Drosophila melanogaster: one gene and its partners. The protein of the gene in region 1 interacts with the protein of each later gene in a pairwise test. Each region holds a gene or a part of one and is shown on either strand. Other genes may lie near its edges.

Region 1 (9,621 bases):
TTGGTTGCTGGTTCTGCTGTTGTCTCATGGGTTGTTGTCTTACTGGTGCTTGGCTCCTTTGTTGTTCTTTCTGTTGTTTCCCTCTTTGTAGTTGGCTCTCTAGTAGTCTTTGCGGTTGATGATTTCCGAGTAGTTGGTTCTTCAGTAATCCTTAAAGTTGTTGATTTCTGAGTTGTGGGTTCATGCGTTGTCTTTTTGGTTGCTGGTTCTGCTGTTGTCTCATGGGTTTTTGTCTTACTGGTGCTTGGCTCCTGAGTTGTCCTTTCAGTTGTTTCCCTCTTTGTAGTTGGCTCTCTAGTAGTCCTTGCGGTTGATGATTTCCGAGTAGTTGGTTCTTCAGTAATCCTTAAAGTTGTTGATTTCTGAGTTGTGGGTTCATGCGTTGTCTTTTTGGTTGCTGGTTCTGCTGTTGTCTCATGGGTTGTTGTCTTACTGGTGCTTGGCTCCTTTGTTGTTCTTTCTGTTGTTTCCCTCTTTGTAGTTGGCTCTCTAGTAGTCTTTGCGGTTGATGATTTCCGAGTAGTTGGTTCTTCAGTAATCCTTAAAGTTGTTGATTTCTGAGTTGTGGGTTCATGCGTTGTCTTCTTGGTTGCTGGTTCTGCTGTTGTCTCATGGGTTGTTGTCTTACTGGTGCTTGGCTCCTGAGTTGTTCTTTCTGTTGTTTCCCTCTTTGTAGTTGGCTCTCTAGTAGTCTTTGCGGTTGATGATTTCCGAGTAGTTGGTTCTTCGGTGGTCCTTAAAGTAGTTGATTTCTTAGTTGTAGGGTTATGCGTCGACTTTTTTGTCTCTGCAGTCGATTTAATGGTCGTTGTCTTCAGGGTTGTTATTAGCTCAGATGTGGATTTAATCGTGGTGGTCCTCAAAGTTGTTTGCTCAGTTTTTGGTGCTTCCGTTGCCCTTGCAGTAGTTGCAGTAGATTTAATAGTGGTTGCCTTTGGAGTTGTTATTTTCTCAGTGGTTGGCTCGTTAGTTGTCTTTTGGGTTGTTGGCTTGGCCGTCGATTTAATGGTGGTTATTTTTAGAGTTGTTGTTTCCTCACTGGTTGTCACTGTTGACTTTGTTGTTGCCAGTGTTGAAATCTTTGTGGTCGAATTATTGCCATCACCCGGACCAAATGGACAGCCCGGGAGAAAAGGATTTATCCAGCAGTAATCAGGATATTTTTCAGCCGATTCTGTAGTTGATTCGTCCCCAAACTTAATTTCACTGCCCTCCAGCGCTGCATTTGCAGAGTGATAAAGGGCAAGCCAAATAAAACAACTTAGAACGACCTATAGTTAAGGACAATATTGGTATGAGGTAACTACTAATCTTATGTTCGACTTACCATTGCAACTTGTCGAGCAAGACTCTGGATTTTTGAGCCTTAGTTGGTGCTTAAATAGGGAGCAGAATAAATGGCATAGCAGGCCGCTGATAAGGTCGTCCAGGGTCGTAGTTCAACAAAGTTCAACAGGTAAGCGCGAGTCATTATTACAAAACCAAAAAGATAAGTTTTTAAAATTTGTATGCATTTGAAGCATACTGTTTTATTGTCTTTTTGTTTGTGATGACCAATAATGCAGTGCCCCGCATAAAATAAACTTGCACCCTCGTTTGACTAGCTGTGATTTATTACACATAAATATATGGATTCACATAAATGTTGAGCCTTAGATTATAGCACAGTCCAAAGATATCGAATCCAAGAGTTCGATCTTATTTGGTACTGTGCTTGGTGTGTAGTGTGCAAGTCTCGGGTTAGTTTCTCTCTATAGCTGCTGCCGAAATAAATATTGCTTATGTCTAGGTAAGAATACAATAAGATAAATAGAACAGAAGTTTTCCAGGCCCTAAATGCAATGCGACAACAGAATCAATTGCTCATGGTGTCCTGATGCTTGCACAGTGCCCTTATCCCCGCCATGTCCCCAGCTCCAGATCTCGTTCCTAATTGTTAGTGTGCGTGTAGTAAAGAACCGTATTGCCTGGTAGCTGCCAGTGGGAGGCCTTCAGCTCGATGAGTTGGAGAAGAGTGCGCCGAATGGAGGCCGCAGATTCGCCGGCATTCAAAAAGGCATCGCGAACCAGACTCATGAGTAACTCCAGTTGCTGGGGCAACTGCTGCTCCATGTCCTGGCCAATACAGGTCAAAACATAAAACAAGCACTCAATCTGAAAGTTATGAATAGTAATCACATGTATTATTCCAACCACTTGATCAATCAAAAACGTACCTCTGAAAGTGATCTAATGGGTGGACGCACGCAATCCCCGCAACATTTGGAGAGCAGACTAAGCAGTACCAGTGGCGGAGGAGTGCCCTCGTGGTGGGTGCGTAGCTGGAGCTGCCGACGTTTCAGCTGACAAAACATTTCCGTAAGGAAGGCCATAAAGGCAGTGAATCGGACACGTGATGGCGACTTCATGCCCTGGATGGCAAACAACAGCTGCATGCGGGGTAAAAGATTTTTAAATATGAAATGATCATGGAAATTTATGCTGAATTGCCTACCTTCTCACGCTCCTGGTACCACTGACGGCATGTGTTGAGGAGCGCCTCGAGAAACGTTTCCTTCTGCTCCCGGGCAATGATGTTCAGACACAGTCGTGATATTGGCAGAGCAAAACGGCGACTCTCCACCGCGCGTTTGATGAACTGCGATGTCAGTTCCATGAGACAGCGAGAGTTCAGTTTATTGGGATCCTCCAGGGCCGTGTCAATAAGCGCCTGGATCTCTGGCGTGAACTGTCCTATGTCGGCCACCTCGTTGCCCAAACCTAGTCCCAATCCGGCCATTCCACGAGTAAGGGCATCCGCCGACGACAACGACTTGGAGCGTTGCAGTGCATTTCCATTCATGTAAGGATCTACTCCATTAATATTCGCCTGATAAGGCTGAGCATAGTTGTTGTTTAGTTGACCAAACTGATTATGCGAAGCCACTTTGTGACCTCGGGGCTCAGGTGCAAACTTTACACGATTTGTTGTCTGGAATTTAGGTGTTTATTTATTGAAATATTGTTTTTTTTTACCAATATTTTTAAATTAGAGCTCACGTGAAGTATATTTCCACTGGATGGCGAGTTCATTAGCGGCAGCTGACCGCTGAGGGCACCGGTATTGATTGGATACGTCACCAGGATCGACCGGTGGTTGGCCTTCAAGCCCGGCATGTTGCCGAGGGAGTGTCCGGCCTGGCGGCGATTCACGTTTCCGTACGGACCCAAACCCGGTGCAACTCCCACTCCGGGTCCATTGGTGAGCGGAAGTATTAGCGACGAACTGGAAGAATGTTGTAGACTGTAGTTTAGCTCTGCAAGGAGACGGGAAGAGGGGTAAACAATGGAATTAAAAGACTTTGCATTACCGGTTGCCGAGTGCCTCGGCCGGTGCCCCGGAGCTGGTTGTCATTGTGAACTCCTGGGCATTGACGTTCAGCTTGTTGGCGACACCACCGATAGCACCATTCGGACCATCACCACCGACACCACCGGCTGGAGCGGCTAGCTCTCCGCGCACATCTGAGACAGAGTCAAGTGGGGATTATTGTTGGGGAAGGGTCGGTATACCCAAGAGTGTATGTGATGATGTTGGGGGGTAGGACAACATTGTGTGGAGGGACGGAATGTACAGGGTATGAGACAGAGATATGAAAAGAATCAAAAGAAAAATGTGGTCTCAGTAAGTATTAATTGGAACTGATAAGCTGGCAGCAAAGAATAGAGCATCTTAAGCTGGGCTGGCTGAAGTACATATGTGACTATTGACATTTAATATTTACATTTTTAAATATGCTCAATCTCACTTTTTAAGGACTAAGCTGGAAAAAAAACGGAAATAGTCCCTATAAAATATGCCTATAATAAATATCGTTATATGTACATGTATGTTTTTGATTATTCAGTACCTTTCTCGTCCAAATGCATATATCTACACTTGATGTGTTTGTATTTCTAAGCCACCACTAAAATAATACCGATTAAATATCCTCGAAATATAAAAATTCTCTATTATATTGAGTTCTTTAACTTCTTTAGCACCGAGCACCCTGCCAAGCACCCAAGCGAATTAGAGAATTTATAACGAATGACTAAAACAACTCACTGGGAGGCCTGTAGATATCCATGGCTGGTTTGCCCCTCATCTGTCCCGTCTGATTGCCAGGTACGTTGAAAGCCAGACTTCGCCGTTTGTTGATATTCTGAATGAACAAACAATTATATAAATATGGCTGCTAATCGACATCGATATGGTGTACCCACCTGTTGATTTGAGGTGCGCACAAAGCTGCGTTCGCGGGAGATAACGCCGGGCTGAAATTCCGGTGATTTGCGCACCTTCCGCGTATCATTCTGTTGGCCATTCATGCTGGCCTGGGCCAGTAGTTCCACCTTTTCGGCCATCCTGCGATTTTTGCGCGAGTACTGCTTCTGCTCTATTTGGGTAAAACCTAATTGAAGATGAAAGCCTAATCTTTGGTAGATTATCCTCCGGTTAATCGATTCACAACTGGGATTCCGTCGAATAAACGTCTAAATGTGTGGCTTCAGTATTTGAGTAAATTTGTACATATCACAATAGTTGGTTTCCTTTCCTCCTTTATCGAGTTGAGTTCTCTTCTTAATACGATGTTGAGGGATATCTTCCCCTTTTGCAGATTCAGATTGCCGGGTCTGGAATACAATGAAAATTAATTATATACTTCAGCATATCGCATTATATTATTGTCAACATATATCAAGTAAGATACACAAAAACTCTTTAACCCACATGCGAGAGGGAGGCGCAAACTACTTGATCTTGTCGAGCAACCAACCGGCTTTATGGCCGAGCGTAGGAGTTGCATCTGGTTTGGAACCTCTGGCTAGAGCACTTCATCTCCGAACATGACATCAGCCCCCGAGTAATTCTTATTCTGCGGCCCACAAGAAGTCCGAAGTGAGTCTCCGCGAAAGATACATACGAAAGATACATTGTACAGTCAGGCCTCTCTACCATCTATTATCACAAAATGTGGCTTGAATAAATCTTTGACTCTTCTTACTTATATGTACCATCCACTTATATCAATAAAACAATGAACTTGTCAAAATGTGGTAATTAACGAACTTAGAGAATCTTACATAGGTTAACTGCCCTGTGAGAGTGACTACTATCATAGCAATGTGAACTTGCCTCGCTAATTGCTCTACACTTCCCATTCTCAGATTGCCAAACAGAGTGCTCGGAATAAGCTAGGCTGGTATTATGAATCAGCGTCGGATGGACGGATATACTCACCTTTTAGTGCAAAAATATTTCCTTCAAATTGTTTCGTTGTTGCTGCTGCTGTTGCTGCTTGAGCTTTTGTTTATCTCTGTCTATAGTGTATATATAGATGGGTTTGTTTGTGCGTTGTTGCTATTCGTCGATTCGATTGTTGCTTGGTGCCGCAGCTTAGTTGTTCGTATAAAGATATTTATCTACTTCGTAGATACGCTCTTTCGTGTCTCGTTTAATCATGCTTGGCATGCGCCAAGTCAAGCCGTAAACAGTGTCAGAAATAATTAATATTTCGAAGCGTCCCTCCACGCCCAAATAGTCCGCATATGGGGTAATACACTAGATGGTTATGGATTGCGGGCCTCTAGACACAGATACAGATGCAGGCAGATACAGCGGCAAATGCAAAAAAAGGCACAGATACGCATACGCATACGCACTCACACAAACGCACTGTGATCACAATTGATTTTAGTGCCTATTGTTGTTGCTTTTGCTCGGATGACTGGTGGCTGCTGTGCGAGCGAGAGGGCGAGATGAGTGATATGAGCGGGTGGCTCGTTAAGTATACGCACCGTTGGTATCGTCTATTTTTGGTTTGTCGCTTTGTGCTGCTTGTTCTCGGCTCGTTGTCTGCTCGTCGTCAATTATTACCGATTCCGTTTTGGTTTCTTAATTTTTGTTCGCGTTGTTGTGTTCGTTCGTTTTTCTTTTTATTGTGATTTTTCTCTCATTTAATGCAGATCGCTCGCTATTTATGTATATAATATAGTTATTGTTCGGATTACTCTCACACGTACACATACAAGCGGTCACTACACGCATACAGGCGCGGCCAAAATGAGGGGATTATTAATTGTTATTTATATTTTCCTATACTACTCTTCATGTTTAGCCTGCACGCGCTGTTTGTTTTCACCCGACTTGTGCGCCGTATTCTTTGGCAATTGCCAAAAACTGCTCACATGTGCCGCCGCATCTATATTTATAGTATATGACAGCGCTGCGAATGATGACTGTATCGCAGCACTATGTAGATACATCTATAAACCTATATGCAGTTGGCGTTGCTTCCGTTTCCGTTGGTCAAAAACAATAATATCAGCGGGCTGGCAGAAAGACAAAATAAAAAAAAGAACAGACTATTTCAAATTATTGGCCCGATTTATTTAGCGTTTTAGTCGCCGCCGCGGCACAATATGATTTCCGCTCGCAAACAGTTTGTCTATTTTTAAATAGAATTCAAGAAAGTATTCGGGGAGGAAACGTATGTACTTATGCATGAATCACATAATCCCGATTCGTAAGAGCAAAATATAAAGGATCGGGGATGTAATTGGATTTAAACACATTTAACTACGGGACAATGGAACCTTGGAATTTTGGTTTTACTTTAGGTTTCCATGGGTTCGTTGCTGTCGATCGAGACACTATATCTGCGGGGTATATCTATTTATCGATGTACGCCGTATTATGTGAGCATGTATGTATATTCGCACGTATGTATGTATATGGATGTGAGTAACGCTGCCGGCTGCTACACTGGGCGCAGGCTTTAACTTAAAAATTAAATCATCGGCGCGAGCGATCAGTTGAAGACTAAAGACTTGATGAATCGCCGCGCCAGCCGAAAGCTCTTCATTACAGTTGTGCTCTCTGGAAAGCGATTCTCCGCTTCTCTTTGCACCACACAACCAAAAGAATCTCGTGGGAAAATGCGAGAGCGATCCGTTTAGGGTTGTCGAGCGGCTCGAACTATAGAGCAAATATGTAGAAATAAATGAACATGATCGCATTCGTACACAAAATGATCTTTATCCTTATAACAATAGTTTCAATTCGATACATAAACAGAAATTACAGAAATGAAAACTAATCATGATGACAAATCAATAAAACAAGAATATTAACTTGTCTGCCTTGGTTTATCGTGGAAATGTTGCTGTTACTAATGAAGAAAAACTAATGTCGCCTCAACGGTGAAAAATTACTAACTCGATTTATGATCCACTTTTGGCATACCATACACCAAATCTCTCCTTGCATACAAGTTTAAAAAATATACAAATACAATATTGTTAGAATAATTCAAACGATGTTAACAGGATTTGACAGCGGTAGGACGATTAGACCAAGTTGATCAAATGCTCGCGCAGAATAAATACGGAGGTGGGGACAAGGACGAGAACGAGGACAACGAGAATGCCTATTTGGCGGGCGAGGCTATGGAGTTGTTTAGTGAATTGTTTAGCTGCTCCTCCTGATCCTTGTCCAAGCCAAGGGCTGTGGTCAACAGCTTGACCACACATCGCTGCTCGTGCACCTCGCCCTTCTCGTTGGAAGTAATGTCCTTTTCTAGTTTTAGCTTCTCTTCGGCGGCCATCAGGATGCCCTCCTCGATGGTACTCTCGGAAATGAGACGGTAAATGGTCACCGGACGCTGCTGTCCCATGCGATGACACCGATCCTCGGCCTGTTTATCGTTGTACGGGTTGAAGTCGATATCGTGAATGACACAGGTGTCGGCAGCCGTCAGGTTGATGCCAACGCCACCGGCTTTGGTGGAGAGTAGGAACACAAAGATGCTATCGTCCCCATTGAAGTCGGTGATCAAATCCTGGCGGACATTTACGGCGGTCGCCCCGTCCAGGCGACAGAAACCAAACTTTCGTATTCGCAGATACTCCTCCACAATGTCCAGCATCATGGTGAACTGGCTGAAAAGCAACACACGGTGTCCTTCTGCCTTCAGTTTTGGAAGCAACGTATCCAGGTAGAGGAATTTTCCAGAATCGCATATCAAATTATCGGGTATTTTCACGTCGTAAAACTCCTGAAAGATGCACAAATTTAGTCATTGTCATTGGACAACCTCTTTGATAGTCACTTACATGCTTGTTCATCATCTGATAGACCTGAAAGTCTGACATAACGGCTAGCTCTTCAAAGATGTATTGCTCGTTGGTCTTTTTAAAGGAACTGGCATTAGCCAGGCGCTTAGAGAATCCACGTAGATTGGCGTCGGTGAAGTAGTGACGCATCAGCAACGGATGGTTTGCAATGCGGCGCATCTCCATCATGATCGCTATGCCGGCCCTTTCGCTGCTGCTGCACACCTCGCCCTTGTTATTGGAATAATAATCGACCAGCTCGTGATAGTATATTTTCTGTTGACTGCTCATGGGCACTTTTTCCTTTAAATAAAAAACAATTTAATTATTGTATAATATTTATTTTCGCCCGACGTACTTACCACCAGGCTTAGCTTCTTGGGCAGGTTCTTAAGGACATCTTTCTTAAGCCGTCTGAGTACAAATGGCTTCATGATACGCTTTGCTCTCTGGATTTGTGTTTCCTGGAACTGTGAAACCTCATCCTGATCTCCATCGCTTTTTCCCTTCTGCAAGGAACATGAAGTTTATATATTGTTTTGTGTGAAACCAATCTTTGTTTTACCTTAGCAAACAACGATTTTATGTCCTCAATGCTCTTGGCAAAGAATTTGGGCATCACGAAGCAGAGCAGAGAGATTAGCTCCAGCAGATTGTTCTGCAGCGGAGTTCCAGTGAGCAGGATTCGCATCCTAGCGTTTATGGTTATAAGGTTAGCATAGCGTTGCGTGGTCATGTTCTTCAGCATATGGGCTTCATCAAAAATGACGTAGTCCAACTTGCAAACCCGGAACATTTTCCTCTCCTCCGGCGTGGATCCCACAATGTGATATCTGTTCAAAATGTACAAGAAATTTAAGCTTAGATTCTTTTATGGCTTTGTGGATATTTACGTGGTCAGAAGAACATCAAAGCCGGTAAATCCATCCTTGGCAAAGCGGCCTCGCATTCTCCTTCGCTCGTCCTGCGAGCCATGGTACTTCTCCACCACCAGTTCGGGACACCAGCGGCTAATCTCTGCCTCCCAATTATCCAGCGTGGACGAGGGCACCACAATTAAATGTGCAGCCTGGCTAAGACCATTCTCCTTTAGATAGGCCAGAAATGCAATAACCTGAATTGTCTTGCCCAGACCCATTTCATCTGCCAAAATGCCATTCATTTCTTGTTTGTGCATTACGGTGAGCCAATTAAGGCCAATTATCTGATAATCAGCCAGCTGTAGACTGCAAGAGGAACGAAAATAGAAACACAAATGGGGACATGCATGCTGGTTAAGGCTCACCCGCTGCTAAGAAGCTTAGGTTGCTCCACAATGCCAGCACCATTGGAAATCGCCTTCTCCAGACGCGACACCATGTTATTGCACTTACTTAGAATAGCGGCCACCGTGTTCTGTTTGTTAATCAGCTCTTGAGCGTAATTCAAAAGATCACCCGACATCCTGATGCTCTCCAGCTTTTGGCGCAAATCAGACCAATCACT
Region 2 (5,918 bases), on another chromosome or scaffold:
CCAATGCCGCAATTTTCTCAAGGTAAGCGCACCAATCGCATAGACCGCATGTTTATGTTGCTTTTATCCGCCGCTAACCGCTATCCTGAACAGGTGGACCCCAACAAGGAGATCCTGCTGGATGTGGAGAGCACCAGCTCAGACTCGGAGCTGGACTACCTTACGCCGCTCACCGAACTGAGAGCCCAGGAGCTGAAGAGTGGCGCTGAGGTGCCGCCGCCAACGGAGCCAGCGGTGCTTCCCGCGGCAGGCAAACGGGACAGGAGCAAGGACAAGAGCCGCGACAGGCTCAAGGCGAAGAAGCGGGAAAGGGAGCGGGAGAGAGAGAAGGTGAAGGAGAAAGAGAAGGAGAAGGGTAGCCGGAGCAAGGACAAGAAGCGTAGCCACTCAAAGAGCAGCCACAAGCTGGCCGAGAAGAGCAAGGACAAGAAGTCGGTGCGGCACAAGAAGCATGGCAAGAAGAGGAGCCGGAAGCACAAAAAGACCACAAACACCAACAATAGCAGCAGCAACAGCAGCAGCGAGCTGGCCAAAACCAAAACAGGCAAGCGACCGAGCAGCGGCAGCACCAACAAGAAGTCAAAACGACGACGATCATCCTCCACCTCTAGCTCGGATTCGTCGTCGTCGTCGTCGTCCTCCTCCTCCTCCTCGTCATCAACCAGCAGCTCATCGTCGTCATCGAGCGATGATTCGAGTGATGACTCCTCCACATCGAGCGATTCGTCTGAATCGGATTCCAGCGACAACGAGGAGTCCAGCACCAGTGAATCGGATGAGTACGGACGCAAGAAGAAGCGGCAGGGCAAGTACAAGCGCAAGTCCACGGACACGGCCATGCTGCGACGCAAGAAGACCAAGGCGAAGCGGAAGCGACATCGTGCCGGCGGATCCGGTGCTCCGACCGCCGGCAGCAGCTACCTGAGCAGCCTCAGCGACAGCAGCACCTACTGAGAAAGAAAAGAAACAAACAAGGATTAACTGGATCAGCAAGAGAATCTAGATGTGGATCTGTATCTGGATCTGGATCAGCATCAGGATGGATAGACAGCTGCCTCCCAAAGCACTCGCTCCGCAAACTAGCTCGCTTTCCATTTTAGCCGTAAAAACGTAAAGGAGCAGGACCGCCAGCCCATCCTTTCCGCTCCTCACTTCCACAGAGAGACTGCCAGTTCCACTTCCAGTTCCAGGCCCCAAAACAACTTCTCCATGAACTCTTCCCACGGATTATGAGACGCGCAAACCGTAGACTTGTCCCTATACCTTAAATTTCAGCCCGATGTGTGCTGCAAATACAACAAATTAGTTTGTACAAGAGGAAGTCGGAGTTTTTCATAATTGAGAGAGAGCAAAGCATGGGTTGCTATTAATTATAATCTTCCGCAACATATTTTATATCTCACATTTAGTAATAATAGTTGTAATAGATTAGAAAATCGCTTTGTAAATGAGCCCAATAACATGGCAATCTAATGACTTAAAGATAGCTAATAGTGTCTGGCTTGTATTTGTGGATATGTTACGCGACCTAACAAATGATTTAATACACTTTTCGATAGTAATACCGAACATATATAATACGCCTACGTTAGGTGCTATAACCGACCCGAACTGGAGCTGGAGTCGCCTGATTTCTGAAAGATTCGCAGCGCTTCCTGCAGTGCGGAAATGTGTAGCTGCATTTTGGCTATTTGCCGGGAAGACGACTCGCAATTGCGGCAATGGGCAGGCGAAGCAGCTGTGCTTGAATCGGAAATATGCTGGCTGGCTAACAACAGCTGGGCATTCTGCGACTTGAGCTCGCCATTCTGGACTAGTAGCTCCTCGCAAAGGGCGCACGCCGAGCAGCGTAGATCCTCCAGCGCCTGTTCGCGTGCCTTGAGGTTGCGCATTAGCGCTCGATTCTCCCGCTTCAAGTTGAGCAGCTTCTGCTCCAGCTCCAGCATCTCGTCCTCGCTGTCGCGTTCCAGCAGCGGATCACTGGGCTTCTTGGGCGCAACACTCGACTGGCCGCCCATGCGATTCATGGCCTGCAGAATGGCGTCCATCTTGTGCTCCATTAACGCACCCGAGGCACGCTGTTCGTCTAGATATTTGTCCAGTGTCGTCACAGCCAACGGAGTATCGCTGCTCGTTGAAGCGTTGGCCACCGCCAGGGAACTGGCACTGAGTTTCCTGTGAGCATTTGACGAACCTATGGGTCGCGGCACTGGCGTTACTATCACATCCTCATTGGAAGGTGTCTCTGTTTCCCGTTCGCGTTCCTCATCGTCCGCCTTCTCCAGCGTTGGCAGCGTTACGCGGGAACGTGGTTGCGGCTGTGGCGGATTAGGCGTCGTCTTTGTGACCGTTGCTTTAGTTCGGATCTTAGATAAATCCTCACGCGAAGGCGATGCCGAGCTGGAGGATGAGATCTCGCTGAGATAGTGCTCCACTGGCAGTTTGTTTTTGACCATAAACGTTATGAATTCCTTCTCATCCGGTTCCTTGTCGAATCGCAGGCTCCAGAAGCGCTGCTCGTCATCGTAGAACTGCAGATAGGATTCGCGCAGTATCACCTTGCCGCCACGCGGTGTCAACTGCAGCGTGGTCAGCACCTGACTCTTGCTGCGGTAGACAATCAGCTTGCTGGCCTCCATCTCGCCCAGAATCGAGAGGGCCAGGCCGACGCGTCCAACGTTCTCGCTGCTCCGATAGGCATGCACCACCTTGGCAATGGCCGTGTTCCAGGCGGCAGGCGGTGAATCACCCGTCTCCTGGGTGCTACTCCTGGTCATGGCCGGTCTTTTGCCAGCCTGCAATTTTTTGGAGCTGCCTGGCTGATAGCGCAAGCTGGATGATTCGTTCGCCAGCGGACGATCGTCGTCCTCAAAGATCTGGCGCAAGTTGCGAGGACCCGATTCACTGGAGTTCATATATATTTAATATGTATATACCACTGTGCCAAGTGTCCCAATCCCGTCCAGAAACAGACTCACCTTCGCAACTTGTCGAAGAAGTCCTGATAGGACTGATCGTTGCCGATTTCCATGCCTAATTATGCAGTCGCATCGAAAATGTTTAAAAACATTAACTATTGTTCAGTTTGTTTTGACCGAAACAGAAAGTGTGACCAAGCGCCAAAACGAAGAAAACTTGTTTCCACCGGTGAATTGCTTTCAGGAAAATTATAAAATATTATAACTAAATATTAAGCAAAAAGGCCATAAAATAAACATATTTATACATATATATGTTTAATATAGTCAACTGTAATAGAATATATATTCTATATTCAATTCGTTTCAATATAATTAATTCAATATATTAAAACCAAACTGAACTTACTTCTACATTCGAAACAATGTTTTTAAAAAGATGCTTGTGCCTTAAATATGGAAAAATCAATCAATATTTAAACGAACATTTAAATTTTATAGTCACGACCTGCTAATTTGACTGCTTATCACTTTCCTAAATCTATGTTTTTGTTTTTATTTTGATTCTAATTTCACCACCAGCGAAATGGTAATAAATATTTTCGGCCACTCAATACGACATTTGTATTATTGGCGGTTGACCTCCTGGTCACGATGTGTTTTCCACTCCAAATCGCTAATGGAAAAACTGACGATACGGGCACTGCTATCAACCCAAATGTTAGTTGTCAGTGGGCTGAGATTTCGAGAGAATTAAGATCTAGATGCTAGATCTTGATCTCTGCACTCTGCAGATGCTTCCAGCTTCGAAAAAGAAGTTGCTACATTACGTATACGTACCCACAGTCAAGGTTCGTCTTGCTGAATTCGCTGGATTTCTTATTTCACAATAGACATTGGTCCGCCAACCTTCCCAAGGCCATTCAAAGAATCAGCAGCAGCACACTGCAAACAAAAAATGGTACTTCTTTCAGATTAACAATGAAATTAATTGAGTAGTAAGTCATATTATTTCGTAAAGATCTTGTCTTAAAACTGTGTATGATTTTTTGACCCATCAAATGGCAGTCTTAACTTATTATTCTTATTCCAAATTTCGTTCTGTGCCGCCAACGACGCAGTTGCTCTCGATCTTGATGCCTTGATAAGCGGGAGAGCGCATCATTTACCACTTGTTCAAGTGCGTTCATCGGCGAAAATTGCGGCGATAAGCTGCGATCCGGTGCGCTATAAAGTGGCCAGCAGCCCGGCAAGCGTTTCAGTCCGATCTTGGCCAGCCACCGAGAGAGACAGCCCATAAAAACCAACTCCCATCACCAAACAGTAGTAACACCCATTCTACCTGGCACAGCGGATTAGAGAGCAGAAGGCGATAAGGCAGTCGTAAACACAGAGATCTGATTACGTAAATAGGGAACAAAGACCATGGAGGTACCACCGCCACTTGTACTCAAGCGACCGCTCTATGTGCCCAGCAAGACGTTGATGGGGCCCGGACCCTCCAACTGTTCCCATCGCGTCCTGGAGGCCATGAGCAATCCGGTGTTGGGTCACATGCATCCCGAATGCCTGCAGGTACAATATCTTCTTAAAACCACAAAAGTGCTAGCAAGATTGAGCTTAATACTCGAATTATATCGAAAAGTTAAGCCCAAGTCCATATACTCATGGGCCGCACTGTACCTTATCTGAACGAAGTGAAACATTGAGATACATTTGCTGAGCTGGGTCAGAGATCTGTGGGCTAGCCAGTCGAGTGAAACCAGCACATCTCTTATACTTTATAGCAATCTAATATTAGTGATCCCCCCATGAATTGAGCTATTCCCACTGAGCATGGCCAGGTGTTTGTATATTAATCTCTGTATATCTGCAGATCATGGACGAGGTGAAGGAGGGCATTAAGTACATCTTTCAGACACTCAACGATGCCACCATGTGCATCAGCGGCGCCGGCCACTCGGGCATGGAGGCCGCTCTGTGCAATCTGATCGAGGATGGCGATGTGGTGCTCATGGGCATCACGGGCGTCTGGGGTCATCGGGCCGGGGATATGGCCCGTCGCTATGGTGCCGAAGTTCACTACGTGGAGGCGAGTTTCGGCCGGGCACTGTCGCACGAAGAGATCACATTCGCCTTCGAGGCGCATCGACCCAAGGTCTTCTTCATTGCCCAGGGTGACTCCTCGACTGGCATTATCCAGCAGAATATCCGTGAGCTGGGCGAACTGTGCCGCAAGTACGATTGCTTCCTCATCGTCGATACGGTGGCTTCGCTCGGCGGCACCGAATTCCTCATGGACGAGTGGAAGGTGGATGTGGCGTACACGGGTTCGCAGAAATCGCTCGGTGGTCCCGCCGGTCTAACGCCCATTTCGTTCAGCAAGCGTGCTTTGACCCGCATCCGAAAGCGAAAGACCAAGCCGAAGGTTTACTACTTCGATATCCTGCTGATTGGTCAGTACTGGGGTTGCTATGGCACACCCCGCATCTACCACCACACCATATCCTCCACCCTGCTCTACGGATTGCGTGAGGCACTGGCCCACTTTTGTGCCGTCGGCCTCAAGGCGGTGGTGCGTCGCCATCAGGAGTGCTCCAAGCGACTGCAGTTGGGCATCGAGGAGCTGGGTCTTGAGATGTTTGTGTCGCGCGAGGAGGAGCGTTTGCCCACGGTGAACACGATTAAGGTGCCCTTCGGCGTCGACTGGAAAAAGGTGGCCGAGTACGCCATGCGCAAGTGAGTATTGTACAACTGGACGCGAATCCTCGATAGAGATCCGTATTGAATCCTTTCTTTTTTTCCAGGTACAGCGTTGAGATTAGCGGTGGTCTGGGTCCCACGGTGGAGCACGTCTTCCGTATCGGTTTAATGGGCGAAAACGCTACCGTGGAGCGCGTGGACATGGTGCTCAGCATCCTGAACGAGGCCATTCAGAGCAGCAAGCTGGGGATCAAGACGGATCTATCGAAAATCTAACAAATCGTTGCCCTGCTCCTA
Region 3 (6,563 bases), on another chromosome or scaffold:
GTTCAATAGTATGAAAAGTCTAACAATTCTCACTTTCTAGTTTCTAGATACATTTAACAACTGCTATTTTACTGAATAAATTAAGATAAAATCAATTGAATTTATTTAAATATCTATATAGAACTTGTAGAAACATTACTTAAACAAAAACCTTCCTGAATAAGAATTTTTAAAATGAATTAAATTTATGTAGAATTTATGTTTGTTATCTAAATAAAAGGTATGGATATAAGTTTTATGGTAGTGAACAGCTAAGTTTACCGATTTATGCTTCTATTTCGCTTCTATGTCATTAAAATAAATTTGAGAATAAGCCCCTACCAATTGCCCACATTTTTTCTCGCCGTGCATTGAATGGCCAAAGGGACTGGCTCCAAAGTGCGTTTTTGCTAATGCGAATAAGTTGCTCGGTTTTTTGTGGGGCTTGCTTATTGAATTAAGTTGGGGCGCAGAATACTATGGTTCGCAGTGGAACAACTCTTTCGCAACTCAACTGCGGTCTCAATGTTTGCATTAAAAATTCATAAATCAATTATGGAATGCACACTGCGAAATATTAGTTTTTTCTCGCATCATTTACGGGCTTGTCCTTTTGCGTCCCAATGGAGATGGAGATGGGGAATTTGGGGGGGCTTCAGATGGAGCCTATGTGAATCCAGGACTCGACATCGTCGCGCACTTTTTGCTGCCTTAGAATTTTAGTTATTTTGCCATGAAATGCGTGAACAGCTCGCATGGGAAGTTAAGAATTCGATGTGCGATGTGCCTGCAAGTTCTTTTGCTACTGCCAACTGTCAGCCGTTGATTAAATTTATATATTGTCGTTTTTTTTTATATTTGGAATGCCGTCTTGGCGTCGAAATTAAAATTAAATTAATGAGAACCCGAGTGTGTGCACTGCATAAATTTGGCACCCGAATGCCATATCAACTGACCAGTCTTTCATTGGTGGCTTAGTCGCATTTAGTGGCTTTTAGTGGCTTTAGTAGACGTATGCAAATGAGCCGAAAACGATGACAAAATTCTGTTGGCTCTTAATCGATTGCAAGGCAAAAGGCTTTTTGCACATCTCCAGCCATAATTATAGTCGATAATCTGAACGTTCATTATTTTAATTATTGTAATTTACCAAGTTTGCATATTATAATAAATGGTGCACCACTCCGCCGGCGGCTTCATTAGCATAAATTTATGCCAGCCACCGTGGTCAGGAATATTGTATACATACACACATATATACATATGTATATATATAAATGTACATAAATTGGCAGCAGGATAAACGCACTAGCATTGACGCATTTGACCACATAGTAGTCGTTGAACATGGCTTACACAGGCATTGCAAGGGCTTTGTAGCTGCAAGTGTTTCACTTCCCCCCGTTTGGGCCAACTAATTTGAATTACTGAGCTCCGAATACCGGGTAATTATGACCAGACCTCGGACGATGCACTGCCACCGGAATGCCCCACCAGACCCCCCCCTTCGGTTACCAGCGATTTGCATCCAAGGCGGTGACGGCTGTCCTAAATTGTGAAACATTTCTTGGCGGCGGGGCGGCCATTATGGCTATATCCGCATATATATATATATATCTATATATATATGTATGTATATATATAGGGATCCAGGAGCCCCAACCGGTGCCAAAGTGCTTGAATATTCATGTGCAGTGGCTGCTCCCCAAACCCGCCGGCTTAATATGTAAATTTAAAGTTATTTCGCACCGTCCATTATTAAAGATTTCCCTTTTCGCACATGCCAAAATATTCAACTGACTCAGTTTCTGGTTTTATGAAACATCTTTTGTGTGTGTGCCAAATATTATTTTAGTCCGCACTAAATAAATAGTATATTCAAGTGTCTCTTGAAATGATTAAGTTATGGCTGCATATTGAAATGGCACAGCTGTAAATCAAAATATAATAAATACATATAACGAAATTAATAAATTTAATTTCATGGCCAATATAAATTGTTATGACTAAGCCATCTGTTTTAAATTTAAATTTAAGGCACCCAGTAGCAATAATTCAGAAATTTGCTCTTTCAACTGGTTTTTCGCATTCTACTCAATTTAAATCAATGTATTTATAAATCTTCAGATTCTATTCACAATAATTATTGTAAGCAAAGTGCTCTTTATAATATGGTATTTATGGCCTTCAGTTTGAACACAAATTATGAGATTACAAAAAAAAATTTGGATAAGGTTTTTAATTGATTTGGAATTTGTTACTTTTAAAATTGAATATATTATTGACAAAATCTAAAGGGAGCAACATTTTCAAAGCAAATATAAATGTATATATAAGATACAATATTGGATCCATACTAAAAGATTCCTTAAAATTGTTGTCTGTGCTAAATAACCGTTTAAAACTTAAGTTAAGTTTGCTTACTAATCAATACAGACTTAAAAAAAACGGTTAACTGTTAATCTCTAAACAAACCACCGGCATAAACCCACCTGATTTGCCGTCGGGTAGCCAGCGTATCCAAACTGCGCATATGCAGCCATTGTCTCGCTGGCTGAGTTGGCCTAAAGAGCGGCGACACGCGAGTTCACTGTGCCGGGGCTTCACTGTGGGGCGTCCCTCGTTGTTTGCTTGTTGTTTTCTTATTTTTTTTTGCGATTGCGGATGCGGATGCTGGCGGAGCCCTCGAAAAAGGGGTGGCCAAGGATGTGGGGATGGTGTTGGGTGCTTAAGGGAGGTTCAAGTGGGTGGCCAGTGGGTGGTTGGGTTGGGTGGCTGGGCGGATTTGGCGTGCGTGCTCGACGGCTAAGCACTCTGGGCGCTTTTGTTGTTTGCTGGCTTGTTGGGTGTTGTGCTATTGTTGTTGTTGCTGCTGCTGGCTGGCCTTGTTGAAAATTGATAAAACAAATTGTCGATGTCGAGCAGTTCTGTTAATGTCGCCGGAGCCGGAAAATGTTTTGTTTGTTTTGTGTGACTTTGCTGTTTTATTTCGCTCGTCCGTTTTCATCCGTTTTAACTTGATTTTTATTGACTCTGTTTGACTCTTTGGCGGCCGGTTACCAAAATGGTTAAAAAAAGACACACACAGACGACAGCCGGGCAAAGCAAATTGGATTCAAGTGTTTGCCGCAAACAGATTTACAAATGTACGCGGCTCTTCAGTCTTCGGTCAAAAGAATGTGTCAGTTTGGTTTGCGAGTTTACCCACTGATTGGTATTTCAGTTTTTTCCACACTGTATCGAAATTTTTTAAAGTCAGCTTAGGAAACTTTTTGATATGTGATCCATAATAATAAACATAGTTTCGAATTTATGGCGAGTTTCTTTTGATATTTAACGAGACATTTCTAGAGAGGTTTGCCTGTCTTTTCGGGTCCCTTTTTTTCGTATTTACTTTTATCATAACTATTGCACGCACTTCATTATCTACGTCGGTTGCATCTGCCGATCCGATCCGCTGGCAATGCTCCAGTAAAAACGGGTTCCGTTCCAACCTGTCAGCGGTATCTCCACGGTGACGACGGCAGTGACTGCGACTCAATAACCGACTGTGACTTATCCGGTGACTGTAACTCGTTCGTCGGTACTTTCGTTTCGGCCTTTTTTCGAGTTTACTGGGCGACGCGGCGGAGATGCCAAGATGCGAAGATGCGCACCTATTCGCGTTTCGGAACAAACTGTTTTTCGGCCGCTCAGCGAGCAGCGCGGTTGCGTGTGACAGAGATGGCAGCAGCGATGTAAACGGGATGGCTGCAGGGCCGCGAGAGAGCCAGCCAGTTAGGAGCTCTCCCATTGGCCAGCGTTCCAATCAGACTGGCAGCCACGAGCAGCAGCCTTCTCGCTTGCACGTCTGTGAGTGGTCTGGTAACGAGTGAGAAGGGTAGACTCTCTGGGGCTGTTGTTGCTTTGTTCGTTGAGAACGCCCACCTCCAAGCACTGGAAAGTAAGTCGACGCTCTCTTTCTGCCGACCCCTCTCTGTCGACGTTGGAAGCGATTTCATGGCGGACCACGATCGAAAGGCTTCCCAATTGGATATTGTAGCCAAAGTTGGCTAAGAATTTTCCGATTTTGATAAAAAAGTACAATACAGAAATAATTGGAAAAACTAGAAAAGAGTTGCTGAAGATTTGCTATCATAATAACTGGTCAAAATACGTCTGGGCATACATTCGTGGGAAGAATTGGAACATTTTTCTACAATCTCAAAAAATCAAACATTAATTTAATTAATTAAATATAATGTTTAAGAAAATTTGCAGGCATATAAAGATATGTTTTTCAAGACGAGTGGGTATACAATCTCTTTAATATTGAGTAGTTTAGTGTTTTATTTGATCCGCTTCCAATTATTCTTTGAAATTTTAAAAGAGAATTTTCAATATTAAAATAACAAAAACATAAAACCTTTTTTATAAGCCCAGCTGAAATAAATATAATCTATGTCACATCAAACTACAAAAAATAACATACAGCAAACAAATATAAGCATGTTTTTATATTTTAATAAACATATTTGCTTTTCTATCTTGGCTCCCAATAAACAAAAAGTTTGATATTTTAATGTGCATTTAAATTTTGGGTGGTGTAAGGACTTGGAAAATCTAAAAAGTAATCAAATTAAATTATTTTAGAAGGTCTGCAAGTATATAAAGCCAAAATCTAATTTTATTTAAGAAAACTAATCCGTACGTTATTGGTAACATCAACAACATTTAATCATTACAGTGTGTGTGTGTTTTTTTAAAAATAGCTTGATATATGCATTGTACATTTCCCATAAAAGTGCTTAATGCTCCAATATCTCAAGGCCAAATCACGAAAATCGCAGCTAATTGGGACTAGCTAATCGTAACAAGATACCGAAATAGGAGAAAAAACAAACAAACAATCCGATTCCATTCGATCCAAGGAAGGGGGCGTGGCCGGTCCATTTGAGGGTCCTCGAGTCGAGTGCGTTCTAATTAATGGTATGTGGAGCGGGCGGGGTGGGGAGGGGAACTGAACGTTTTTGGGGAATTTTTGTAAAATGAGTATTTTGATGTTTTGGGGTGTTAACGCGCTGCCATTTATTATAAATGCGAGTGCATCTCAAAGTCAAAAGAGACGCACATGTGGCACTTTTTTCGGTACTTACAAACGAACGCATATGTAAATGTGTGTGTAGCAATGTGTCATTTGCATAGGAAAATGAAAATGCACCGGGTATTTTTGGGAAAAGTGTCCGAATGCCCAAACTCCTGATCGGTACTCAATTTCTGGACGCTCTTGGCGGCGCCACGAAATTCTACACCCACTTCATGAGTCTGGGGATCTGGAATACGAAAGGATTCACATGAAAGAAATGCATTTGAGAATAAAGAATTCATCCATGAAATTTAAAATGTATGCTTTTAAAAATTGAATTTCTAAAGAGCCAAATTGTGATTGGTTTAAAAGTTGCAAATAGTTATTCTTCAATTGAAAACAACATAAATGCAATCCAATCATACCAAAACGTTATGTAAAGTAATCATATATTAAAACAATTTCTGAATCATCAAATAAGCAGGACTATACTCGTGTAATTTTTTAAGTTTCGATATTTTGAAGATACACAAGATGAACATTTCAAATAATCTATATATAATTTATATTTAGCATAATTATAAGCTTATATTAAATAAATACTAAATGTTTAAGAAAATATGTAAAATGAGTATCATGCTAATTGGAGTATATTTTAATTGAATCGAATGTTTTCTGCAGTGTTTACCTCCTTGAATCAATATCTCTGAGTGATTTGTTTGATGACTTCGGACATGTGAACTGTGGCACATGTCGCATATCCTTGGGAGCACGTAGCCCGTGCCCATAAGTGTCCTGATCCCAGGATTCCCATTGTCTGAGCTCTGCTTTCATTTAGTGCAGCACACACACTCGAACATTGCTCACTCGGTGGACAGGACATGCAGATTATATTGAAAACAATTTAAATGTAGATTTTGGCGTTAAGAGATATTATTCTTCGACGCCAGGTGCGTTGGTTCAGAGACACTCGCACACACACTCCAACAAATTTAACTGCTAATGTGTGTGAGTGAATGGGTGGGCGTTGAGTGGGTGGAATGGATACAGTTGCACAGAGAGTTGCAGGCAGAATATTCACCACCCCACCTCCTTCCCCAGAAAGGCTTCTTACTTAAGTGTTGTTTCATGTCACCTGGAAAGCATTTGGACATGAAATTGTCGCTTTTCAGTATGTGGCACACACACAGATACTCACACATACAGTTTCCTCTCGGCGAAAAATCTTCTGCCGCACAGACACACACACACACAGACAGACACACATGCAAAGGCAAAAGGATAGTGCTTCTGGTGAATATAATAAAATCCTTTTCGCAAAACGATAAACGATAAAGTCACCGTAACAAGCACAAAAAGGATTCTCTCTCTCTTCATGCAAATTGCTTTAAATGAATTTGTTTTCGTTTGTGTTTTGGGTTTGCACACTTGGAGTTGGAAGTCCAGTTTAAGCCACGACTCCAAGGGGAGCCATGTTGGGTGTACTCAACACTAAAGATTCTGTTACAAATTGGCCATA
Region 4 (9,737 bases), on another chromosome or scaffold:
TCCTCCATGTTGATTTGCTCCTCCGCCTTAACAGTTTCACCCGCTCTCCAGCGCGCAAGCTCGATCTCCAGCTTCTCCACCTTACCCTTTAGTCGGGCGTTCTTTTCCTTCTCCTTTTCATAGCGTCGCTTCCATTCCTCGGCAGTAAGCTCCTCGTTAACGCAGACCACGTTCTTCACTGTCTTGGCTCTACGACCGAAGTCCAGCGTTGACTTCGTTTCAGATTCGTTGAAACTGGCTGGAGAGCAGCAGATGACGATGGTTGTGCGTGCATTGCCTCCCAGCGACTCCTGCAGGATGCGCGTGAGCTTGGAATCACGGTAGGGGATGTGCGTTTTGTTTCCGTCCGCCAGGGCTGAAATTACGTTGCCCAAGGCCGACAGCGACTTGTTGATGTTCTTGGCTTCATCAAGAACGGTTCCCTCCGCTCCAGTCTTGGAAACCTTCTCGGAACCGGCCAAATCCACCAGGTAGAGTTTGCCGGATAGTTTCTTCTGGTTCTCCAGGTTCTCCTGCTTCACATTGATAAGGAATACTGAGTGGGATCGCGAAGAATGCTCGTTCATGTCTGAAAGGATGGATAAATCGTTATAAAAGATGATCTGGTACATGAAACACTACAATCGAGGTCAGAGCGAATGCTGGAATAACTCCTAGACTTGTTTGGCTGAAATGGTCCTGACCATCGATTTTAATTAGTACTCACTTGTCACAGCGATGTGACGATTGGATTTGCCCTCCTCGATCACCTCGAAAACATCCTCCGGCGACGAGACGAACCGTTCCGTAGCGCCCTTGACGTACGGCACCCGGTTCTTGTCCTCGTGCACGCTTAAGTTCACCTTGGAGACGTCCAACAGATCTCGAATCTTGTCCATGTAGATCTCGTAGTAGGAGACCTTGATGTGAAACTCCAGGTTCACCTCCATCGCGTAGATGTGATTGAAAATGTCGTTGACGATACGTGGTATGATACCCTGTTTTACGGAGTCCCCGATCACGCCCTCCATCGTATGCGTTTTTCCGGAGGACGTCTGACCATATGCGAATATCGTTCCATTGTACCCGGCCAGGACATCCGTAACAATGGACTTGGCCGCCTCATTGTAGACCTTCTCCTGGGATGCATTCGGTTTGAAGACCTTGTCGAACAAATACACCTTGCCCTGCAGACGATGGAGATTAGGTTTAGTATAATGTGTTTTTTTCTTTAGTACATAGCAGCCAGTTACATTAGCTATAAACTGGTGTCAGTTGCGGTGAAATTTCTTTCGGAGATTCATTCCCCCTGTCCCCGATCTTTTCCCGCTGACTGCCTTTGAATCATTTTCAACGCATGGCCGCGAAGCAGATTGTAATTATGAGCATTAAGACATGTTAAGTGGAAGGGGGAAGAATAGTGAATAACGAGCGCCAGAAGAAAGCCACAGCGAAAGAGAGATAGATAGAGTTAGTCAGAGAGAGAGAGAGAGCGTAATGATAATGTCTGTGTATGGAGGCACTATATTAGTGCTGACTTTTTTGGAACTGGTTCAATTGCCCAAGCTTTACCAGGAATATGACGGATTACACCTGGCGGAAAAGCGGGAAATTCAGCATAGCATACAAAGCAATAACATTTCATGTGGCATAAAAGCAATACAGCCAAATTCCATTGCCTCCAAAGTTGCTCTTATTGTTTTTCCTCATATTTTTTTTTTTTGTATGCTTTGCGTGCATGACTCATTGGCGCGCGGACAGGGGAGTGGAAGTGGAGCGGGGGCTACCGTCAATGTGTGTATGTGTTTGTGTGGAAATGTAAGTGAGGTAAGCACTGAAGGCGGACTGGAAACTAGAAAAGCGCATATTTATGCGGCCCAAAAGAATGGAACACCCGCTTTTAGCAGAAAACCGTCTAGTGGGTGGCATTTCTCCACCCCGTCATCGCGCTTCTTTCGATTTACACACCCTATTCTTTTTCGACTGGGGGAAAATCAATTTGGTGCAAAGCAATATTGATTTGGAGTAAAGTTAGTTGGTTTCATCATATACATGTATATGTACATCTAGTTTTGTTTTGTGCAATTATTCATGGGTAACTTTAGTGCCTCTCTCTTTTTATCGCCTGGCATTCCAATTGGTCGGCAATTTTGGGGAAGGGTAATGTACGCTAATAGGCATGACGTCATGGCGCGGCACGCCGAGATTAATGCATAACACATAGGGAAAAGGCACTGGGGGCTGGCGAAAACTATAGATCTGGAACACATACCGCTATGGATATGCAGTTCTCCTCCACATTGTTGGGGAACTTGACCACGAACTTGGAGCCGGCCTTCTCTTCGCTGTCGTTCAGCGGTCGGAATCGGCAGACCACTTTGATGCTGTCCTCGGCGGGAATCTCTCGTTCCGCGGACATTGCTTACAGGGCGGAGATAGATCTTTCTGGCGGAGATTGTTGGATTTCTGCAGCTCTGGGCGCGACCTCTGCGCATGCAGCTCACTGTTTACGTGGATAATCAACGGACTCGCTATCGTCCGCACTATCTGCTGTTCACTGTTTGCTTGTGCCGATTCTGGTACTCCGTTTGGCCCCTTTTGTTCCGATTCTCTGCTGATTCCGACACACTCGCGAAAATTGGGTTGGGGGCGGCTCAAATAAGAAGATGCAGTGAAAATTTTGTGGTTATACCAGACACAAAAGTTGAATTGGTCAAATGGCGATAACGCTGGAGCGCAACCTCGATTCTGACTGCTCCGCGTCGTACTGTTTTGCACTTTTTTGCCCGGAATGATTAAGTGCAGCCGCTAAATGCACTCGCATACGTTAGTAGGTCGGAATTAGTTGCACTCAAAACTATTTTATTATTCGACTATTATTTTCGCTACTGTGCGCCAGTGTGACCGTTCTGCTCGCCCAGCTAAATACCAATCGCCATTTAATTGCACAATAATACTGAATTAATACTCTCAAAAGCTTCGAATGTATGAGACACCCTGCAGATCTTGAAAATGGTAACGGCATATAATATTCCTAATTAAGCGATACCGTTTAAAAATCATTCAAAAATTATTCAAAATTGCTTGTTTATTGTCACTTTTGTTTTTCCTGTCCAAATATTTCGGCTTGGGCGCAATATATAGCTCCAAACTAGGCATACAACCTCTGTAGGTTCAATAGGAAAACGCTATGGAAGATTGATCACCGAGTCGCTGGAAAGGATTGTGGAGAACAGAGGGGCACGATGGCACAGAAGGATATTACGTCGTATTTGAATTTGGAGCGATTGAAGAAGACGCAGAAGCTCATCCGACTTTATCGATCGAACGAGTGCCTCTGGAATCCAAAGTCACCTGGTTTCCATAGTGGTTCTGCGAAGGATGACGCCTGGCGACAAATCACCCGGCGGATGAACTGCGGCCTGACTCCTGACCAGGTGGAGCTGCAGGTGCTCGGTCTGCGGCACTACTACTCCAAGGAATTGGCCGCCATCCGAAATAGTCAAATTGAGGGTTATAGTTATAGTCCAAGGTACTCCTACTTCGAGGACTTGCATTTCTTGGGAAACTTGGAGGTGAGTGGATGGTTTTTGCACTGGATATTGAATAGTGAACCATTATCTTCTATTTTTACACAGGAGGAAGCTAACTGTCCCATTAAGGAAGGACATTTCCCACCCAATTTTTCGGAGGACACATTCATATCGCCTCTAGCTTTTTTAAGTCCCAGCTGCAGTGAAACCAGGTGCGGGTACACCTTCTACAAGATGATTCTAGAGCCTGAGCCACCAAATGAAGAGTTCTTAGGTGTGCACCATGAAAGATCTACGTCCGGCAATGATCGGTGGTATCCCACTGCGTACTGTGTTCGTTGCAAGCCAGAGGAAGACGAAGATCCTTGTGAAGCGTGCGAGCTAAGAGGTCAAAGCAGTCGTCCTCAATTCGGAAGTAAGAGCTCTTTAGAAGGCGGAGAAAGCGGCAGTACCAACCCAAGGATGTCTAATCGGTATCAGGAACAGGATCAGTCAAATAAATTCCAAAAAAGTGATAGCAAACAGTATCGAACTGGGAAACCATGTTCATGTCCCACGAAAGACAACCCAGAAAAGCGTTCATCGCAAACGCAACAAAATGATGTGTACGTCGGTGCTGACAACTGGGATGGTTACGAGTCCGTCGGCAATGGTATACGCAGCGATAGATGGCCAGGTCCCAGACTATGTTCCCAAAAACGCGGAGAGTGGAAGCCCAGGTTCCGTAAAGTAATCGGCGAGGACAATCAGAAGTCGTGCTGCGACAGCTGGAAGCGAAATAATAATGCCGTGTGCGGGAGACTTCTAGACCAGTTGGCCAAGCAACAGAATCAACCCGGCAGTTACTCCGACGATGGAGACTCCGTTCGGAATCAAAGCTGCGGCTGTACGAAGAATCGCCGCCAGTCAGGCGAGGATCAGTTAAACGTAATGCTGTTGCAGAAGAAGTATAGGGATCGGACTTTGTCGAACAATGCAAACAATCCTACCACCGATCGACACAGCAACACTCAACCGATTTCGGATCAAACTTACTATAACACCAGCCATCCAGTTCCGAACTGTTGTTACTGCACTTATAACCAAGTAAATCAAGACGTTCAGCGCTGCAATATCCATGGATGCCAGTGCATTTACTGCAATCAAACTGTGCCTCCCGCCCACGGTAACTACTACCAACCGCATCATGTCGATCAGAATGCCAGGAACTATTCTCGATCAGCTCCACCAGACGCTCCATATGATGAAACGGTTTACCTGAATGACTACGGACGATCTATGTATCCGGAGCCACAGCATGTGTATTGCATCAATGCGGAGGATGCGCCCACAGATGTGTGGGTACAGGCACAGTCCCCAGATGCCTCTACTAACCCATCCCAGATGCCCATGGCACCGCCTTCAAAGTCTTGGAATCAGGAAAAGGCAACTCGGCCGCTTCAGCCAGCCAAAAAAGGCAATGCCACAGCACCGCCACCTCAGGACCCAATGAAGACATATTCTTCAAAAGCTAGTGCATTAGAAAAGCATGAGCAATCTGGACAGAATCTTATCCCAACTGAGCAAACTAAATCGATGCCAGAGGATTTTCAATCAAAGACCGTGCAAAAATCGAATGATCAAGGTGAACGATCCAACTTAGGAAGAAGATCCTACGGATCCGAAAGTTCCAATTACAACCAAGGAAGGATTCAAAATGAGGAACGATCTCGCAGGGACGGTCCAGATCGTCCTGACCAGAAGAAATATATATGTGAGGATGATAATTGCCCAGTTAATAAACGCCATCAAAACGAGGAGCGTCCTTCAAAAAGGCGATCTCGTAAAGATGATGAAGTTGGTAATAACCATAATTCCAATTATGAAGATTCACCTCCCCCACGACGAAGAAAAGACAATGCCGATGAAGCGAAAAATCAAAAAGTTTTCCAACTTCAAACTGATGACTCCCAGTTAATGGCATGTCCCGCGTATGATCGTCGTGATCCTAAGGAATGTCCCCATTTAAAATGTCCTAGTCCAAAACACCGAGAAGAAGGAGTAGCTCGGAACTCAAGAAATCGCGACTACGAGGAGAATAATGAACGAACCTCCAAGTCTAGGAGGAGCAGTCCTTTGAGAAATACTTACAATGAAGAAGAGCAGCAGGCTCCCAGAGAAAGATCCAGTAGTCATGGCCGGGAGGATAATTTTAGGACAAAGAGAAAATCAAATGAAGAAACTAAAAGATCCAAAAGAAGATCCGATGAAATCTGCAATGACGAAACGTGTCCATTTGGAGTCTTTACATCTAGGCAAAATAAATACCAATCCGAACGTCGAACAAGAAATAGTGGGGAAAATGAGTACTCTAGACATGGCAATGGAACGAATCCGCGTTCCAAAAGAAGAGATAATGATAATCCATGCAATAATGACACTTGTCCATATGCCGATTCCTTGGAAATTAATATGGCCAGGTCGAGAAAACATAGCGATCGATCTTATTCTAAAGAGAATGACGAGGAGGAAAAAATAGCAAGGAGATATAGGAGTGAATCCTCACCAAGAAGGCGATCGCGGGAAAACGATGATTATGAAGATACCGCAAAAAGCTATAGAAGAGAAAGCGATAAGTATAGGAAACCAAGAAGAGAAGATCCTGACTATGATTCAGATTACAATGAATATGGACAGAGAAGATATAACAATCGCTACAGTGATAATTATCCTGAATATCGTACTTCTATAGGAAAGCCAAACAAGTACTCCAAACGAGAGCACAGAAATTCACCTTCTAGATATGCTGAAGGACCTCGTGAAGATTACCGAACTGAATACAAATACAGAAACCATGGAAATACTTTAGAGGATTGTTATTGTGACGATTTTGAATCGGATGAATATGATGCCAATAATCCATATGATGCCTATCCTAGAAGGGAGAACGCTACCGTTCGAAATCGAAATGCTCCAATGGAGTACAATGGAAGAGAATCTTCAAGAAGACCCAAACGGCCCTCGAAGTATGATAACTCGGAGAGCGAGGATATGCCTTACAATAAGTCAGAGCGCATAGATACTAATCGAAATCGTAATGCAGACAATATCACAACGAAAAGGAATCCATCCTATTCCAGAGAAGCTGATCTATACGATTCAGCAGAGGATGACTGCTTCTGCAGCGATGAAGAAATCCCCCACGCAACAGCAAATAGGAACTCTCGGTCGAGTAGAAATGATCGCAGGTCATCAGGTCTTGCCAACAATGGAAAACAAGATAGATCCAGAAGATCCGAAACTACCGAATCCCGAAGAAATGAATCAAGGAATAGTGACAGGGCACCGGAAACTCGTCCTTCAAATAGGGATATAAAAGAAATACAAAATCCTAATAATGCATATGATATAGACATTAAAAATAAAACGCACGACGTAGGTGAATATTCCAAGAACGACAACAGGAACGCTAATCATAACAGTATCGTGAGCCCAGTCTCTGACGATGATTGTATTTGCGACGTGGAAAGTGATCCGAAAGATCCCAAGTCAACTGTGCCGGAGAAACGAAATCAGGCTGGCAGTATATGCATAAATCTAAGCACATCAGTGGAAGACAAAGAACATAAGATGCAGTCATTTGGAAAAGCCAAGAAAACTGCAGAACCAACGGTTATGGTACCCAAATCATTAGATGCCTCTAACAGATTGAGGGAACAAAAGGAGGGCAAGACAAAGCTAGTAACCACCAGTGAAAACCAGTCGTCATCCGCCAAGAAGAATATCCGCGCCAAAACTGGAATATCGCCCAGAGTGCAATCGAGATCCACCAGCCCCGTTCGCCAAACAGGAGCTACGAAGATTCAGCCAGGAGAGCCGGTCAAGAGACGAACGACGACTAGAAGTCCTTCCCAGAACGCCGCCAAGAGAACAATGGAAACTCATGCAGCTGCCAACAGCAAGTTGCCCTTTGATCTAAATTCTGCCGCCTATTTTATTTGCAAGTTACAGGATGAAGGTAACAACCATCAGTACCTGCTTGTGGTGCCCAAGAAGCCGATTGGAACACCCGATGGCCACCGGAAGGCCCCAGGACAGGAGTCTGTGAAGCAGCTACACTGCCCAAGGCAGTGCTCCGGCTTTCAGAGCATGTCCTGGGACGATTCGGCGACCGCGACCCGATCCCAGCCACCTCTGCAATCCCAGGCGAGTGGTGGCCTTTCCATACTGGGCTCCTTTAGGATTCCACCAGTGCTGGCCAGCACAGCGCTGGGCATCATCAAAGAGCATCTCCACAGGAACACCGTGCTTCAAAAGCCAGATGCCAGAGAAAGAGAAGCATTATATCCACCCAGAAGGATGCGGCGCATTCTTATGACCAGACCGATTTCAAGGCCAAGGAGACCAGTACTTCGTCCATCCCACAAAGCTAATGCTCCCATTCTGAAGGAGAACAGAACCCTGCTGCTCACCAGCAATCCCTTTCGAAACTTGAGCTTCAGCGATCACAATCGAGAAGTTATTGTCCTGCATCCGCCGGATCCTGGCTTTCGGCCATCGAAAAACTCCTTCAGCAAGGGCGAAGTGGAGGTGCAGCACATCACAGTGCCCAACGAAGATACCGTTGTGAAGCCCGTGCCACCCACGCCACCTACGAAACCCAAAAGGACATCGGTGATCAATCCATAGCTGTTATGTCCTCACACAAACTCGCCCTCTCGTCATAAAAAAAAAAAAACAGCACCCAACCGAAGCCGAAGGACTCAGCTGCCTTTTTTATTCAATGAGAGGAGTTTTGGCCAGGAGTTCAGGGGTGTCACGCTACACCGCCCACTGTGGTGGCTTCGCAGTTTCGGAATCGTTCGGGGTTAGACCAAAACTTGAAGTACGCCTATCAATGAACTGTTGAGTAATTAATTTATGATCGTTTTTGAAATCATTGAGGCGTAGCCAAACGATCTGATGGCCAATTGAATCTGGGGATCTGTGAATAGTAGTGGGCTGGTTATAATTGGTAGAAAGGGTTAGATGAGTAGCTCATTTTGGATTGAACACTTGGTTCACAATCAAGCGATGCGTTCCATGAATAATGCCTTTGAAATTGAAATTATTTTTAGCATTCAATTAAACATTTCAATTTATTTCATTACATATTTAACTTAATCTACAGTAAGAAGAAAATCACATAACTTTAGTCTAGTATCATCCATCTATGACAAGGATCCTCCGCTCAATCCAAATCCACTATCGCTGTCGCCGAAGATGGTGTATGCAGCGGCATCCACTTCCACGTCCCCGTTGTTGAGAAGATCGCACAGCGCCAGGATGTAGGACTGGGCCATCTGGAGAGTCTCGAACTTGGACAATTTCTGGTCAATGGACGGAGCGGGCACCACTTCCCTTAGGCGCTCGAAAGCCGCATTCAATCCATTCATCCGCTTCCTTTCCCGCGCATTGGCAGCCTGTCGTCTCCTTTTCTGGACCGTGGGACTGAGATTGGTCTGCTCTGGACTGCTCTTCCTACCGTCCGATCCTGTGAAGCTGTTACTCCGCCGTTTGGTCTGCGGCTGGGTGTGCTGTCCTTGCGCCTCCATGATGGGTCCTAGTTCCGTTTGAGTTCCGCCTGCGGCATCCAAGAATTGCCATTCCGGCGATAAGAAAGCCCCCTGTCCGTAATCCTGGCCAGAAACTGGCGGCAACTGGGTCAAGTTGTAGTTGGGACTGCCCAGGTACTGGGAACTGCCATCCTCCTCGGAGGCAGACGAGTAGTAGTAGCTCATTGCAGATCCGAGCGGCTTGAAAGTTTCGTTGCAACTGAAACGATCCGATCGGATCCAGACTTGACTACGGTCAACCCCCGCGAGATGCATTCTACAAATATTTTCACCGCCGTTCTGACCAAGTTTGTGTAAATGGCCCGCAAATGACCCCTGGCCCCAGGATCCTCGCAGCTATTACCATGGCCCGGCCAAAGGATCTCCCCGAGGAGCTGGGGTGACTTAGGGGTTAGATATGTTTCCCTCCCTTTCGCTCGGTGGTGAAACGCCTACACTTCGCCTGTTGCCATCTCTTTCGCGCCAGGCACGCGTCATATCTTGCCAAATTGGTACTATCATGCCATGGGATCTTCCCCTCTCTCTCTCTCCCTCTCCCTCTGTCGCCCATAATTTGTGACTTTCACGCTCAACGGCACACGAGCGTGTGGAGGGGTGGGGGGCTCGGAGCTCGCGAGGATGAGCTACTGTA

What was found.
Region 2: the proteins of CG13124 (region 1) and CG3342 interact in a two-hybrid assay, tested with the Drosophila melanogaster proteins (one large-scale study listed by BioGRID).
Region 3: the proteins of CG13124 (region 1) and caup interact in a two-hybrid assay, tested with the Drosophila melanogaster proteins (one large-scale study listed by BioGRID).
Region 4: the proteins of CG13124 (region 1) and CG33017 interact in a two-hybrid assay, tested with the Drosophila melanogaster proteins (one large-scale study listed by BioGRID).

What each region holds. Positions count from the first base shown.
Region 1 is NT_033779.5:9,901,788-9,911,408, forward strand, and holds CG13124 (uncharacterized protein), read right to left. Parts: upstream 6,847-9,621; 5' UTR 6,638-6,846; exon of another isoform or gene 6,521-6,637; intron 6,069-6,520; 5' UTR 5,821-6,068; intron 5,761-5,820; 5' UTR 5,264-5,760; intron 4,657-5,263; 5' UTR 4,387-4,656; coding exon 4,246-4,386; intron 4,185-4,245; coding exon 4,088-4,184; intron 3,505-4,087; coding exon 3,351-3,504; intron 3,297-3,350; coding exon of another isoform or gene 3,266-3,296; coding exon 3,040-3,265; intron 2,972-3,039; coding exon 2,495-2,971; intron 2,430-2,494; coding exon 2,217-2,429; intron 2,155-2,216; coding exon 1,930-2,154; 3' UTR 1,592-1,929; downstream 1-1,591. Other genes in the region: Muc30E (mucin 30E), read right to left, coding at 1-1,271, 1,328-1,330; Etl1, read right to left, coding at 7,452-8,078, 8,137-8,439, 8,499-8,645, 8,702-8,969, 9,030-9,362, 9,422-9,621.
Region 2 is NC_004354.4:6,524,773-6,530,690, forward strand, and holds CG3342 (uncharacterized protein), read right to left. Parts: upstream 3,117-5,918; 5' UTR 3,032-3,116; coding exon 2,979-3,031; intron 2,905-2,978; coding exon 1,596-2,904; 3' UTR 1,334-1,595; downstream 1-1,333. Other genes in the region: CG3918 (uncharacterized protein), read left to right, coding at 1-22, 94-954; Agxt (Alanine-glyoxylate aminotransferase), read left to right, coding at 4,344-4,493, 4,795-5,657, 5,726-5,897.
Region 3 is NT_037436.4:12,606,728-12,613,290, reverse strand, and holds the start of caup (caupolican), read right to left. Parts: upstream 3,661-6,563; 5' UTR 2,523-3,660; coding exon 2,472-2,522; intron 1-2,471. UniProt on the Drosophila melanogaster protein: Controls proneural and vein forming genes. Positive transcriptional controller of ac-sc (achaete-scute). May act as an activator that interacts with the transcriptional complex assembled on the ac and sc promoters and participates in transcription initiation.
Region 4 is NT_033778.4:16,269,088-16,278,824, forward strand, and holds CG33017 (uncharacterized protein), read left to right. Parts: upstream 1-3,026; 5' UTR 3,027-3,224; coding exon 3,225-3,554; intron 3,555-3,617; coding exon 3,618-8,180; 3' UTR 8,181-8,568; downstream 8,569-9,737. Other genes in the region: Khc (kinesin heavy chain), read right to left, coding at 1-568, 707-1,166, 2,252-2,398; cato (cousin of atonal), read right to left, coding at 8,702-9,271.